3 linked regions of the Macaca fascicularis genome follow. The protein of the gene in region 1 purifies or fractionates together with the protein of each later gene. This does not show direct contact. Links are inferred from orthologs where the notes say so. Each region holds a gene or a part of one and is shown on either strand. Other genes may lie near its edges. The genes, in order: FBXO10, PDE6D and ACSL4.

Region 1 (3,651 bases):
GGGAGGCCAAGCCGGGCAGATCACCTGAGGTTGGGAGTTTGAGACCAGCCTGACCAACATGGAGAAACCCGGTCTCTACTAAAAATACAAAATTAGCCAGGTGTGGTAGTGCATGCCTGTAACCCCAGCTACTTGGGAGGCTGAGGCAGGAGAATCGCTTGAATCTGGGAGGTGGAGGTTGTGGTGAGGCCGAGATCGTGCCACTACACTCCAGCCTGGGCAACAAGAGTGAAACTCCATCTTAAAAAAAAAAAATTTAAAAGGGGGACTGGTAAGTAGGGTAGACAGAGATCTCTTTTGTTTTGTGTCTGTCTCCTAGGTGACCATGGAGGCTGGTGGCCTGCCCTTGGAGCTGTGGCGCATGATCTTAGCCTACTTGCACCTTCCCGACCTGGGCCGCTGCAGCCTGGTATGCAGGGCCTGGTATGAACTGATCCTCAGTCTCGACAGCACCCGCTGGCGGCAGCTATGTCTGGGTTGCACCGAGTGCCGCCATCCCAATTGGCCCAACCAGCCAGATGTGGAGCCTGAGTCTTGGAGAGAAGCCTTCAAGCAGCATTACCTTGCCTCCAAGACATGGACCAAGAATGCCTTGGACTTGGAGTCTTCCGTCTGCTTTTCTCTGTTCCGCCGGAGGAGGGAACGACGTACCCTGAGTGTTGGGCCAGGCCATGAGTTTGACAGCCTGGGCAGTGCCTTGGCCATGGCCAGCCTGTATGACCGAATTGTGCTCTTCCCAGGTGTGTACGAAGAGCAAGGTGAAATCATCCTGAAGGTGCCCGTGGAGATTGTAGGGCAGGGGAAGTTGGGTGAAGTGGCCCTGCTGGCCAGCATTGATCAGCACTGCTCAACCACACGCCTGTGCAACCTCGTCTTCATGCCAGCCTGGTTCTCACCCATCATGTATAAGGTGGGTGTCCACATCAATAGACGGCCTTTCTAGTCCTGACCCCAGGGGCTTGGCCTCTTTTCTGGGTTTTTAATCCCTTTTTTGGTTGGAATTGAAAGTTAGGAGTTATTATTATACTCCTACTCCTCTGAGTGCTGAACCAGTTGAGAAACAGGCACAGTGATCAGTAGAGCTCAGAATTCTGCTTTATTCCTGGTAAAGCTGTATTTAAAAATGGCTTGGGCTTGGAACCAAAATTCTTTTGCACCTCTTCCCTTTCCAACTGGACCAACTGGAGCCACCAGTGGAGCAGCTAGGCGGGAAAGCCGGGTTCTGGGAGCATGCCACTTAGTGACAGGAAGCAGAGAGCACATTAGCTGCTCATGGAGGCAAGCCCGAGCGAGAGCCACAGAGGAAAAAGGCTATACAGGACTAGTCACCTTCAGCACATGAACCCCACACCCTGTATGGGATCAAAGGAGGGCAGGCTTTTACCATGATTTGCTAATTCTCAAGGGCGATGGTGAGAAGGTCAGGAAATATTTGTCCAACACATTCCTTCTGTGAACGCAGAGCCAGAAGATGGTTCAAAGTAAAGCAGGTATCCAGGTGTTGGTAGTTCCTGGCAGAACAGTCTATAGCTTATACATTGCCTAGAAACTTGGATTATGTAGGCAGTCAATTACATCGCTTTCCTGCCTGCTCATAAAAAATAAAAGATTTTTGGCCGGGCGCAGTGGCTCACACCTGTAATCTCAGCACTTTGGGAGGCCAAGGCAGGTGGATCACCTGAGGTCAGGAGTTTGAGACCAACATGGTGAAACCCTGTCTCTACTAAAAATACAAAATTAGCAGGGCATGGTGGCAGCAGGAGAGTAACGCAGGAGAATCACTTGAACCCGGGAGGCGGAGGTTGCAGTGAGCTGAGATCCTGCCATCACGCTCCAGCCTGGGGAACAAGAGTGAGACTTCGTCTCAAAAAAAAAAACGGCCAGGCGCGGTAGCTCAAGCCTGTAATCCCAGCACTTTGGGAGGCCGAGATGGGTGGATCACGAGGTCAGGAGATGGAGACCATCCTGGCTAACACGGTGAAACCCGTCTCTACTAAAAATACAAAAAAACAATTAGCCTGGTGTGGTGGCGGGCGACTGTAGTCCCAGCTACTCTGGAGGTTGAGGCAGGAGAATGGTGTGAACCCGGGAGGCAGAGCTTGCAGTGAGCTGAGTCACTGGCCACTGCACTCCAGCCTGGGTGACAGAGCAAGACTCCGTCTCAAAAAAAAAAAAAAAAAACTATATATATGTATATATATATGTGTGTGTGTATATATATATAAAAGATTTTTTTAAGTATATTGTCATTATTACCAATAACAATTGTCTCTCATGTTTGTAATGATCCTTATACCACTGGTCATTTATAACAGACATATGTCATATGCATGCCATATGCCTTATAGCCATTATCTCATGGGTTCCTCTCCACATGTCTATGAGATAGGTAATGTCATCTGATTTTATAGATGAGGAAACGGAGGCTCAGCAAATTGTCATATCAAGGTCTCAGACTTAGTAAGATCCAAAGCCTATTCATAATCTAAGTGACTTTCCATCTGTCACCTCATTGGACCCCCACAGCAAACGTGTGTAGATGAAGTAGATGTGGTATCCCTATTTTGCAAATGAGGGCTACTGAAGCTCAGAGATGGTAAGTAACTTTCTCAAGTGGGTAATTAGGGAAGTTAGATCCCAAATTCAGGCCTTCTCATCTAAATGCTTATAAAATTACATCATGCTATGTTACCTAAAAGCTTAAAAGCCTATGTTTTAGCCCTAGAGTATTTCAGAAGAACTGATGAACTTCCCGGTGCTGCTCTGCAGGCCCAGAAGGAGAGTTTGTTTCTGGAAAGAAACAATGTTCCAGACCCTTCACATTTTGTAATGCATTTATTCTTAGAGTAATATTTTGATTTCAGCCTCTACTTCTCCCTCAGAAGTACAACCATAGATCCTCAAGGGATGAGGCCTGGCATTAGACTTGTTCGTAGCCTGCCCTCTGGCTTAGTGCTTAGCATATAACATACGTTAGTTAGTATTCAGTCCGTGATTGTTTTTCAACTAAAGCAGGCACGGGGGCCTGGGATGGTCTTGCCTGAAAAATGCAAAGGCCAAGGCGATTTCACAGCAGTTTTCAGTGACTTCCAAGGAGAACCTTAGCAGTGGCTCTGCATCTCCAGAGAGCTGGCTTTTATCTTTAGAGAGAAAATGGATTTAAATAGCAAGGAAAAATTAGGTTAGCCATAAGGAAGAACTTAGAGAAGTTAAGGGGGCTTAAATTCTGGGACAATCTATCAAAGATCACTGCTAGAGAATTTTAAAAATTGTTCAAGGGGTAAGTACGTCTGGATTATTAAATAGAATCATGAGATAGTCCCTCATTTGATGGTTCAAATACATCTGATGAAATACGTGTGAAATCCAGAAACAGGTCTTTTTCAGGAATAGAGAGTGAATGGGCCTCAGTAAGACTGCTTCTCAGTCGGGCCCAGAGAGCCAAGGGGGCCAAATGAATTAGGCAGGAGAGTTCAGCACTGCCCCATCTCCACCCCAGACTCTTGAGGACACTCTGCTCCTTGTGTCCCTGACCCCAGATGATAATAACTGACTTTGACTGAGTGCCAAGTTTGTGCCTAGCATGGTGCTTTGTGAACTAGTGAGCCCCATGCTGCAGACAAGGAAACTGAGGCTTAAAGAGGTGAAGTC
Region 2 (3,751 bases), on another chromosome or scaffold:
TTTGTTATCTAAACTGGCAAACAAAAAAGACCGACCTAGTCAACGTGGAAAACTGAGTACTATCAACACTGTTGGTGGGAGAACATAATGGTGCTCTTTTTGTAGTGATAAACTATTCTTACAGAAACAGATACTCTGAAAGAAAGTTCGGAAAATCTATTTACCCAATAAAAGGTAGACAATAGTCAGTTTCTTACTAAAACATTAATTTTACTTTTTCCTGAAGGTAGTAGCATATCTTAACATTCCTGCTTTTCTTTTCCCTCTTACTCCACAAATGCCCAATAAAGGCTACCAGAGGATGAGCACGCCACTGCTCTCATGCTAACTTTTTGATGTGGCTGCTTCCCTGGTGCTTCAGGATTTAATCAGCTCAGGTCAAGCTTTCCCCGAAAGCCTGTTTCTGGATGCACTAACATCACTGAATTGGTTGATTCGCTTTTCCTTCTAGTGGGCTGACACAGATTCTGCTTTCTGAAACTCTTTTCCGTATTTGTCTCTTATCCTCTTTCTTAACAGGTTCAAGAGCCAAGACTGAAGGTGAGAAGCTCAAACTTTTCTGCTTTGTTCAAAAGCCATTAAAAAGGTATTTCTTCTTTTCAGCAATATGGTATTTCCAATCAGATGAAAACGTTGCTTCTGAAATCTCTCAGTTCTCCATAGTTTCTGGTTTACTGCTTACACAGCATGTTAAGTAACAATATTATTACATTGTTATATGTTAAGTAATAATACAAATTACTTGAGGGAAAAATAAAATTCATGTAATAGCTTTTCCAGCACTTCAGTCATCCCTATATACCTATATGATCCATTATGGAGAGAAACACAGAAAGGCACATGGAGCTCTAAAGAGGCTGCTACTAAATCACTACATGAAAGTACTGAAACTTTATCCTGAATGGTAGTATGCAAAGGTGATACAGCCTTTAGGTTTTTTTAAAAGCCTAGATCAATTTTCACTTGAAAAATCTCACTTGTACATCCAAAACTTCCTTTTTGCACTGTGGTCTAAAATGTATTACCAACTTGGTTTCTGATTATAGCAAAGCAATTAAATTTTGCAAGGGTGACATGGACATTGTGAAAACACAACAGAATATCAAGAAAACAGTGCTTTACTAAACCTCCAAGGGAGGAGTCCTAAAGCGGTGACTACCTTTTCACTGAGGGAGCAATTTAAGAACGTTCCGTACTATAGATTACAGACAGGATGTATGCAGAGATTAAAGCCGGCAGGAGAATGGAAAATTTGAATATACAAGTTTGCATTTTTTCATCTGCATCATATGGTGACAGACTAACACACTCCACGAAAACACAAAGCTTCCTTACCACATTAAGGAGAGGTTGCAAGAGCGGCATCACAACAGGCCCGAGGCAATGATTTCTCTACCCCACTATCCTACCGTGGCCCCGGCGACATCACACTATTGCTGGACAGCTCCACCACAGCTAGGCATTAACCGCACCAACAGGAGCGAGCAAAGACACCTCGGCTAGGAGCCCCAGCGCGAGGCACCCCACACCTAAGCCTATGGTCCTCGTGTTGCTGGAAAGGAAACTGAGGCGCTGAGGGGGAAGCAGTGACCAATGCCTCAGAAGACCAAGAGTGTTAAGACGAGGTTGATCTTGGACTTCTCTTTCCCCACCTCCCCCAACTACTCTAGCCCTGGAAGAAGCCACAAGTTTGGAAGAGAAGTTGTGGAAACCAGACGGGGGTGGGGTGCGGTGCGGTGGGGGCCCTGAGAGAGTTTTAAAAGCACTGGTATTTGTCCCACACAAGGTCGCCCGCTCCAAGTCACTGTTCCCCGCTCCTCGGGTAGGCTTATAGCCAAAGAGGCTTCTAGACTTTAAGATCAGCCCACCGCGCCCCCTCAGCCCTTCCCTGCGGGCCGCAGCCCCCTCCCGGCCTCTGGGTCCCGGCCGGGGATTGGAACCCAGCCGGTCTCTCCGACAGCGTTTGCGACGCCCGGCACCTCTCGCAGCCCAGTACCCCAAGCTCTTCCGTCCCCACCCGCCACCCCCTGGGGCTCCCGTCAACGTCCCCTTCCTCCCTCAGGACGCCCCTGGGGGCGCTTCTCGCGCCTGGTCCCGCCGGGTGCACGGCACGCTTTTCCTTTCCTCTCCTCTCCCGCAGCCCTTCTTCCGCGGGGCCCACCTGGCGCGGCCCCCGCCCCCAGCCAGTCTCCTCAGTGAGCGGCCGCCTCCCAAGTCCTCCCGGCCCCGCCCCGCTCCCGGGCGGATACAGTTTGAAGCCCCTCAGGATCTCCCTGGCCCGCTCGTCCTTGGCTGACATGATGCGGCGCTCGCCGCCCGCGGCTTTCTCACTCTGGTCGGCGGAGCCTCGCAGACGGTGCCCAGGAGCCGAGGATGGAGCCGCAGCCCGGCTTGGAGACCTCGGGCGAGCAGCCGCAGCGGCCAGACCAGGACCGGCCTCTCTCTCCCCTCAGCTCCCGCTCCTGATCCCTTCTCCTTCCCCCTAGCCTCGCAGTGCCCCCCTGGAACCAATGGAAAGCCAGCTTTGGCGATTGGCATCCCAACCAGCCAGTAGGAGCGCGCTGCGCCTTCGCAGGGGGACTGTTAACGTCAATGGGAAGGGCCCTCCCCGGGAAGTCCCATAGGACACAATATTCATCTGGTGTTATTGCCTAGAGTTTGTCCCAGCGGAGTGTTGGCTTCGGATCTGCAGAGGCTTTAGGGACCTGCTCCCGCAGCTGAGCACACTAGCCATTCGAGACGGCAGCTGGTTGCACTGTGCTACGCGACAGAGACTACATTTCCCAGCATTCCAGCGGCGCACTCGGGGGACTACAGATCCCAGCGCACCACAAAGAGGTCCGGAGACTACAAATCCCAGCATCCTCTGCACTCGGTTCCTCTGTAACTTAGACTCCAGTGTGCCGCGCAGTGTGCGCAAATTCACAAACCCGCCCGCTGAGTTGGTGGTTTCGGAATCCCGAGACTTGAAACCCAGCGGGAAGACCCTTCTCACCGTCAAAAGAAGATGACAGCCCGCAGAGAGTTAACTTCTGTTTACATGGAACTCAGACATCTTCTGCAAATCATGGTAAGGCTGCTAACAACAAACAAAAACACTGATTAAACCGTGAAAGATAACAAAATGACTTCTTCAAATCGTGCTTGTTGGTCTGAGGCGCCTTTTACGTGTTTTTCAGGGGGTTTTGCTGTATTCCTGCTTTGGACCGGGAGAGCTATGGATTGTATACTCAGAATATCAAAACATAAAGGGACTTTGCTAATCTACCCCGTTGTTACGTATGAGGAAATTGAGGCCCAGAGAGGCGAAGGGATTGGCCACAGATCACAGCAAATTCGGGCAGAGTTAGAATTCAGCCCTAAGTCGGCTGACTTGCAGTCTGGACTCTTTGCACCACACTAAGGAGGTGATATTTTTAGCAGCATAGCAATGTGAATTATTCTCCTTGAACAGTTTTCCTATCCAGTGTTGAAACACCCAGAATTAGGTAGCATTTATTTGGTGGATTTCTTTCAAGTGAGGGAGTGTGATATTTTTTTTCAGCCTAGGTAGGACTTGGTGTTTTGTTTTTTGCCACTCAAGGTGACATTTAATGTGATTTCAGGAAGTAGGTAAAATTGCAGTGTGAGCCACGGTTTCCTTGGAAACCTCCTCTGTCCTTCTCTTGGCCTTCCTTCCTCTGCCTGTCCCCTCTTTCACCCATCTGGGAACTCACCCAATTTTTTCTTCCATGTAATTCAATAAATATCT
Region 3 (3,651 bases), on another chromosome or scaffold:
TAGTTAGAGATTTCCTGGGAAAATTGGTTCTTCATCTAGAAATTTGATCTGCTGGGGAAATTCCTAGGAACCGTGGTTCAGTTGAGAAACAATAAGCTTATTTTCCCCTTGTTCCTTAATTGCACTGGAATCAAAGGTTATTTCTGTAGACTGGGTTCCCAGGCTATGGGTAGGCAAATCAGCACTCATACGAAGGTTCCAAGGCCATGTGATGATTATTCAAGCTGTGCCATCCTGTACTAGCACTTTCTTAGAGAACTGTCATTTTAACAAGATAATGTCAAAAGTGGAAAAGGAGAATTAACATGTGTTAAATGTGTTCTATATGCCAGACATTGTGGGATATATCTGTATGAGGTAGGCATCATTATTCTGATAAAACTTGAGGATTAGGAGGTTAACTGACATGCCCAGGATCACTTAGCTAGTATCAGGCAGAGTTACCATTAAAATCGAATGTTCCAAAGTCCTAGTTCCTTCTATTAAATTGATTATAATATTTAAGATTATAATAAGATGCTAAAGCTTTGGGTATAAGGTGTAACTTTTAGCCAATACTTATTTAACTAGGCATTTTCTTTTTAACTGGTGTGTATGGGCAAGCATTATATATATGCAGTTTTTGCCATTTTAAAAGTAATGGCAAAAACCACAATTACTTTTGCACCAACCTAGTAATAATTTTAGAAGAAGTAGTTTTGTAAATAACAATTAAGGCAATGATATTCAAAGAAGACAGTCAGAATTGCATATACCTTAGTAAAACAAACTATGGCTGACTTAACATTCTTTATGACTTACAGATCGTAAGAAAGATCTAGTGAAGTTACAAGCAGGAGAATATGTATCTCTTGGGAAAGTAGAAGCTGCACTGAAGAATTGTCCACTTATTGACAACATCTGTGCTTTTGCCAAAAGGTAACTTTCCAAAGTTGTATTTTTTGTTTCATAAGTCAAAAGATATTTAGAAAATAATGTGATTGCGTATTATCATAAGGGTAACATAGACTCCTCTTAGAATTTTCATCAGATCTGGGGAATTGTACATTTATGAAAGTTATTGAATCAACAGCTCGAAGATCATTTGAGATAACTCAGACATGTTAACTATGTTTTTGGACACCTGCATCTTGCTAAATACTTAGCTATGCGACAAGTTATTTCGTTTAACATCCGTGACAACTGAGACTTAGCATAAGTAATTTTGCCAAAAAAAGTAACACAACTACTACATGTTGAGATGGATTTTGAACCCAAGTTTTTCTAAATCAAAAGCCTGAGACTGAGCCATTTTCTTTATATGTTGATATGTCTTATTTTTATGGATTTTATTCTTTTTTAAAAATTGTAATTGTGGTAAAAAGCATATAGCATAAGATTTACCATCTTAACAGTTTCTAAATGTACAGTTCAGTAGTGTTGTGTATATTTACATTGGCGTGCAGCCAATCTCCAGACCTTTTTTTCTTGTAAAATGGAAACTCTATACCCATTAAACAACAACTCCCATTCCTCCTCCCTCCTTCCCCTGGGAACCACCATTCTACTTTCTGTTTCTATGAATATGACTTCTCTAGAAATCTCACATAAGTAGAATGATACAGTGATTGGCTTAATTCCCTTAGTATAATGTCCTCAAGGATTATCCATATTATAGTACATGTCAGAATTTCCTTCATTTTAAAGGCTTAACAATATTCCATTGTATCCATTAATGTATTTTGTTTATATATTCATTGTCAGTGCACATTTTGGTTGCTACCCCCTCTTGGCTGTTGTGAGTAATGCTTCTAGGAAAATGGGTATGCAAATATCTCTTTGAGATCCTGCTTTCAATTATGTGGATAGATACCTAGATGTGGAATTGCTGGATCATATGACAGTTCTATTTTTAATTTTTTAAGGAAGAGCAATACTGTTTTCCATAGCAACAGCACCATTTTTACATTCCTGCAACAGTACACAAACATTCTAGTTCCTCCACTTCTTCATTAGCACTTGTTTGTTTTATATAGTAGTCATCCTCATGGATGTGAGGGGATATTTTGTTTTGGTTTTGATTTGCATTTTCCTAATGATTAGTGCCACTGAGCACCTTTTCCTGTGATTGTTGGCCATTCATATATTATCTCTGGAGAAATGTCTATTCAAGTTCTTTGTTCATTATTTAATTGAGCTGTTTGTTTTTTTGTTATTGAATTATGGAAATTATATATTCTGTTTATTAACCCCTTATCAGATATATGATTTGCAAATCTTTTTTTCTATTCCATAGATTGTCTTTTTACTCTGCTGATTGAGTCTTTTGATACACACAAGTTTTTAATTTTGATGCAGTCCCAGTTATCTGTTTTTGCTTTTGTTGCCTTTGCTTTTGGTGTCACATCCAAGAAATATTGCCAAATCTATTCTCATAAAGTGTTTCTTGTGTTTTTTTTTTCCTAGCAGTTTTATAGTTTTATTAGATTGGTGCAAAATAATTTCAGTTTTTGCCATTAAATGTCAATTACTTTTTCACCAACTTAATAGCTCTTCAATGTTTAGATTTTTGATCCATTTTGAGCTAATTTTTGTATATGTTGTAAGGTAAAGGTTCACCTTCATTCATTGCATGTGGATATCCAGTTTTCCCAGTACCATTTGTTGACGAGACTGTCCTTTCCTCATTGAGTGGTCTTAACACCCTTGTCGAAGATCATTTCTCCATAGATACAAGGGTTTACTTCTATTTTCTCTATTCCATTGGTCTGTATGTCTGTCTTTATCCTGGTACTATGGGTTTTATTGTTTCCTAATGAAACTTTATCTGTACTGTACTGTTTCATTGACTAATTTATGAATAACTTTTCTCAATGCTTTCATTTCTATTTTATTTTCTATTTTTTTAGTGACCAGTCCTATGTGATCAGTTTTGTGGTTCCTAATCAGAAAAGGTTGACACTCTTGGCACAACAGAAAGGGGTAGAAGGAACTTGGGTTGATATCTGCAATAATCCTGCTATGGAAGCTGAAATACTGAAAGAAATTCGAGAAGCTGCAAATGCCAGTAAGTAAGAAATTGCTAGACTGGTGTAGTCCCTAAAAGTCATCTAATGATGTCTTTTGCATTAGGCTCTTCAAGATGTTCGCTTTAATAATAAAATACAGGATTTTAAGAAACCTGTTTCTTAAATATGTATAATGGATTTCCATGTTGGAAGGATCCTTCAGTGTCGTATGGTAAAATAACCCATCTAGTTCTTTATTGCATGTTTCAACATCTTTCCCAAAGTGGTCATCTAGCCTGTGTTTGGAATGGTCCATCTTTGGGTAGATCTGTTATATAAATCTACTTTGTGTCTGCAAAGCAGAAATTAATAACTCTAAGTTTAGTAAATAGTGTTATAACCATGATTATGCTTTGTGTGTATACTTTGGCTCTGTAAATGGACTGTCTCAGATGGTACGTTAATAACCAATTGGAGAAAATCTGCTTATATAGTATATGCCAGGAATTGTGTTACACACTAGGAATACAGAAAGTAGTAAGACTCATTTCTTGCTCTCATGTAGTTCATTATCAGGTGAGAGCGGCACATGAGAGAGACAACAATCTTAACAGCAATAGAGAGATGAACGGAGAATCATGGTACCACAGATGGGGGTGCCTAA

Evidence for each region.
Region 2: the proteins of FBXO10 (region 1) and PDE6D purify together in Homo sapiens (affinity purification with mass spectrometry; 3 studies listed by BioGRID and IntAct, with this or other methods). This does not show direct contact. The link is inferred for Macaca fascicularis from reciprocal best matches to the Homo sapiens genes FBXO10 and PDE6D.
Region 3: the proteins of FBXO10 (region 1) and ACSL4 purify together in Homo sapiens (affinity purification with western blotting; 3 studies listed by BioGRID, with this or other methods). This does not show direct contact. The link is inferred for Macaca fascicularis from reciprocal best matches to the Homo sapiens genes FBXO10 and ACSL4.

What each region holds. Positions count from the first base shown.
Region 1 is NC_088389.1:61,783,583-61,787,233, forward strand, and holds part of FBXO10 (F-box only protein 10), read left to right. Parts: intron 1-319; 5' UTR 320-325; coding exon 326-910; intron 911-3,651. UniProt on the Homo sapiens protein: Substrate-recognition component of the SCF (SKP1-CUL1-F-box protein)-type E3 ubiquitin ligase complex. Mediates the ubiquitination and degradation of BCL2, an antiapoptotic protein, thereby playing a role in apoptosis by controlling the stability of BCL2.
Region 2 is NC_088386.1:127,707,131-127,710,881, forward strand, and holds the start of PDE6D (retinal rod rhodopsin-sensitive cGMP 3',5'-cyclic phosphodiesterase subunit delta), read right to left. Parts: upstream 2,465-3,751; 5' UTR 2,300-2,464; coding exon 2,250-2,299; exon of another isoform or gene 1,366-2,249; coding exon of another isoform or gene 1,336-1,365; intron 1-1,335. UniProt on the Homo sapiens protein: Promotes the release of prenylated target proteins from cellular membranes. Modulates the activity of prenylated or palmitoylated Ras family members by regulating their subcellular location.
Region 3 is NC_088395.1:116,219,321-116,222,971, reverse strand, and holds part of ACSL4 (long-chain-fatty-acid--CoA ligase 4), read left to right. Parts: intron 1-803; coding exon 804-918; intron 919-2,888; coding exon 2,889-3,046; intron 3,047-3,651. UniProt on the Homo sapiens protein: Catalyzes the conversion of long-chain fatty acids to their active form acyl-CoA for both synthesis of cellular lipids, and degradation via beta-oxidation. Preferentially activates arachidonate and eicosapentaenoate as substrates.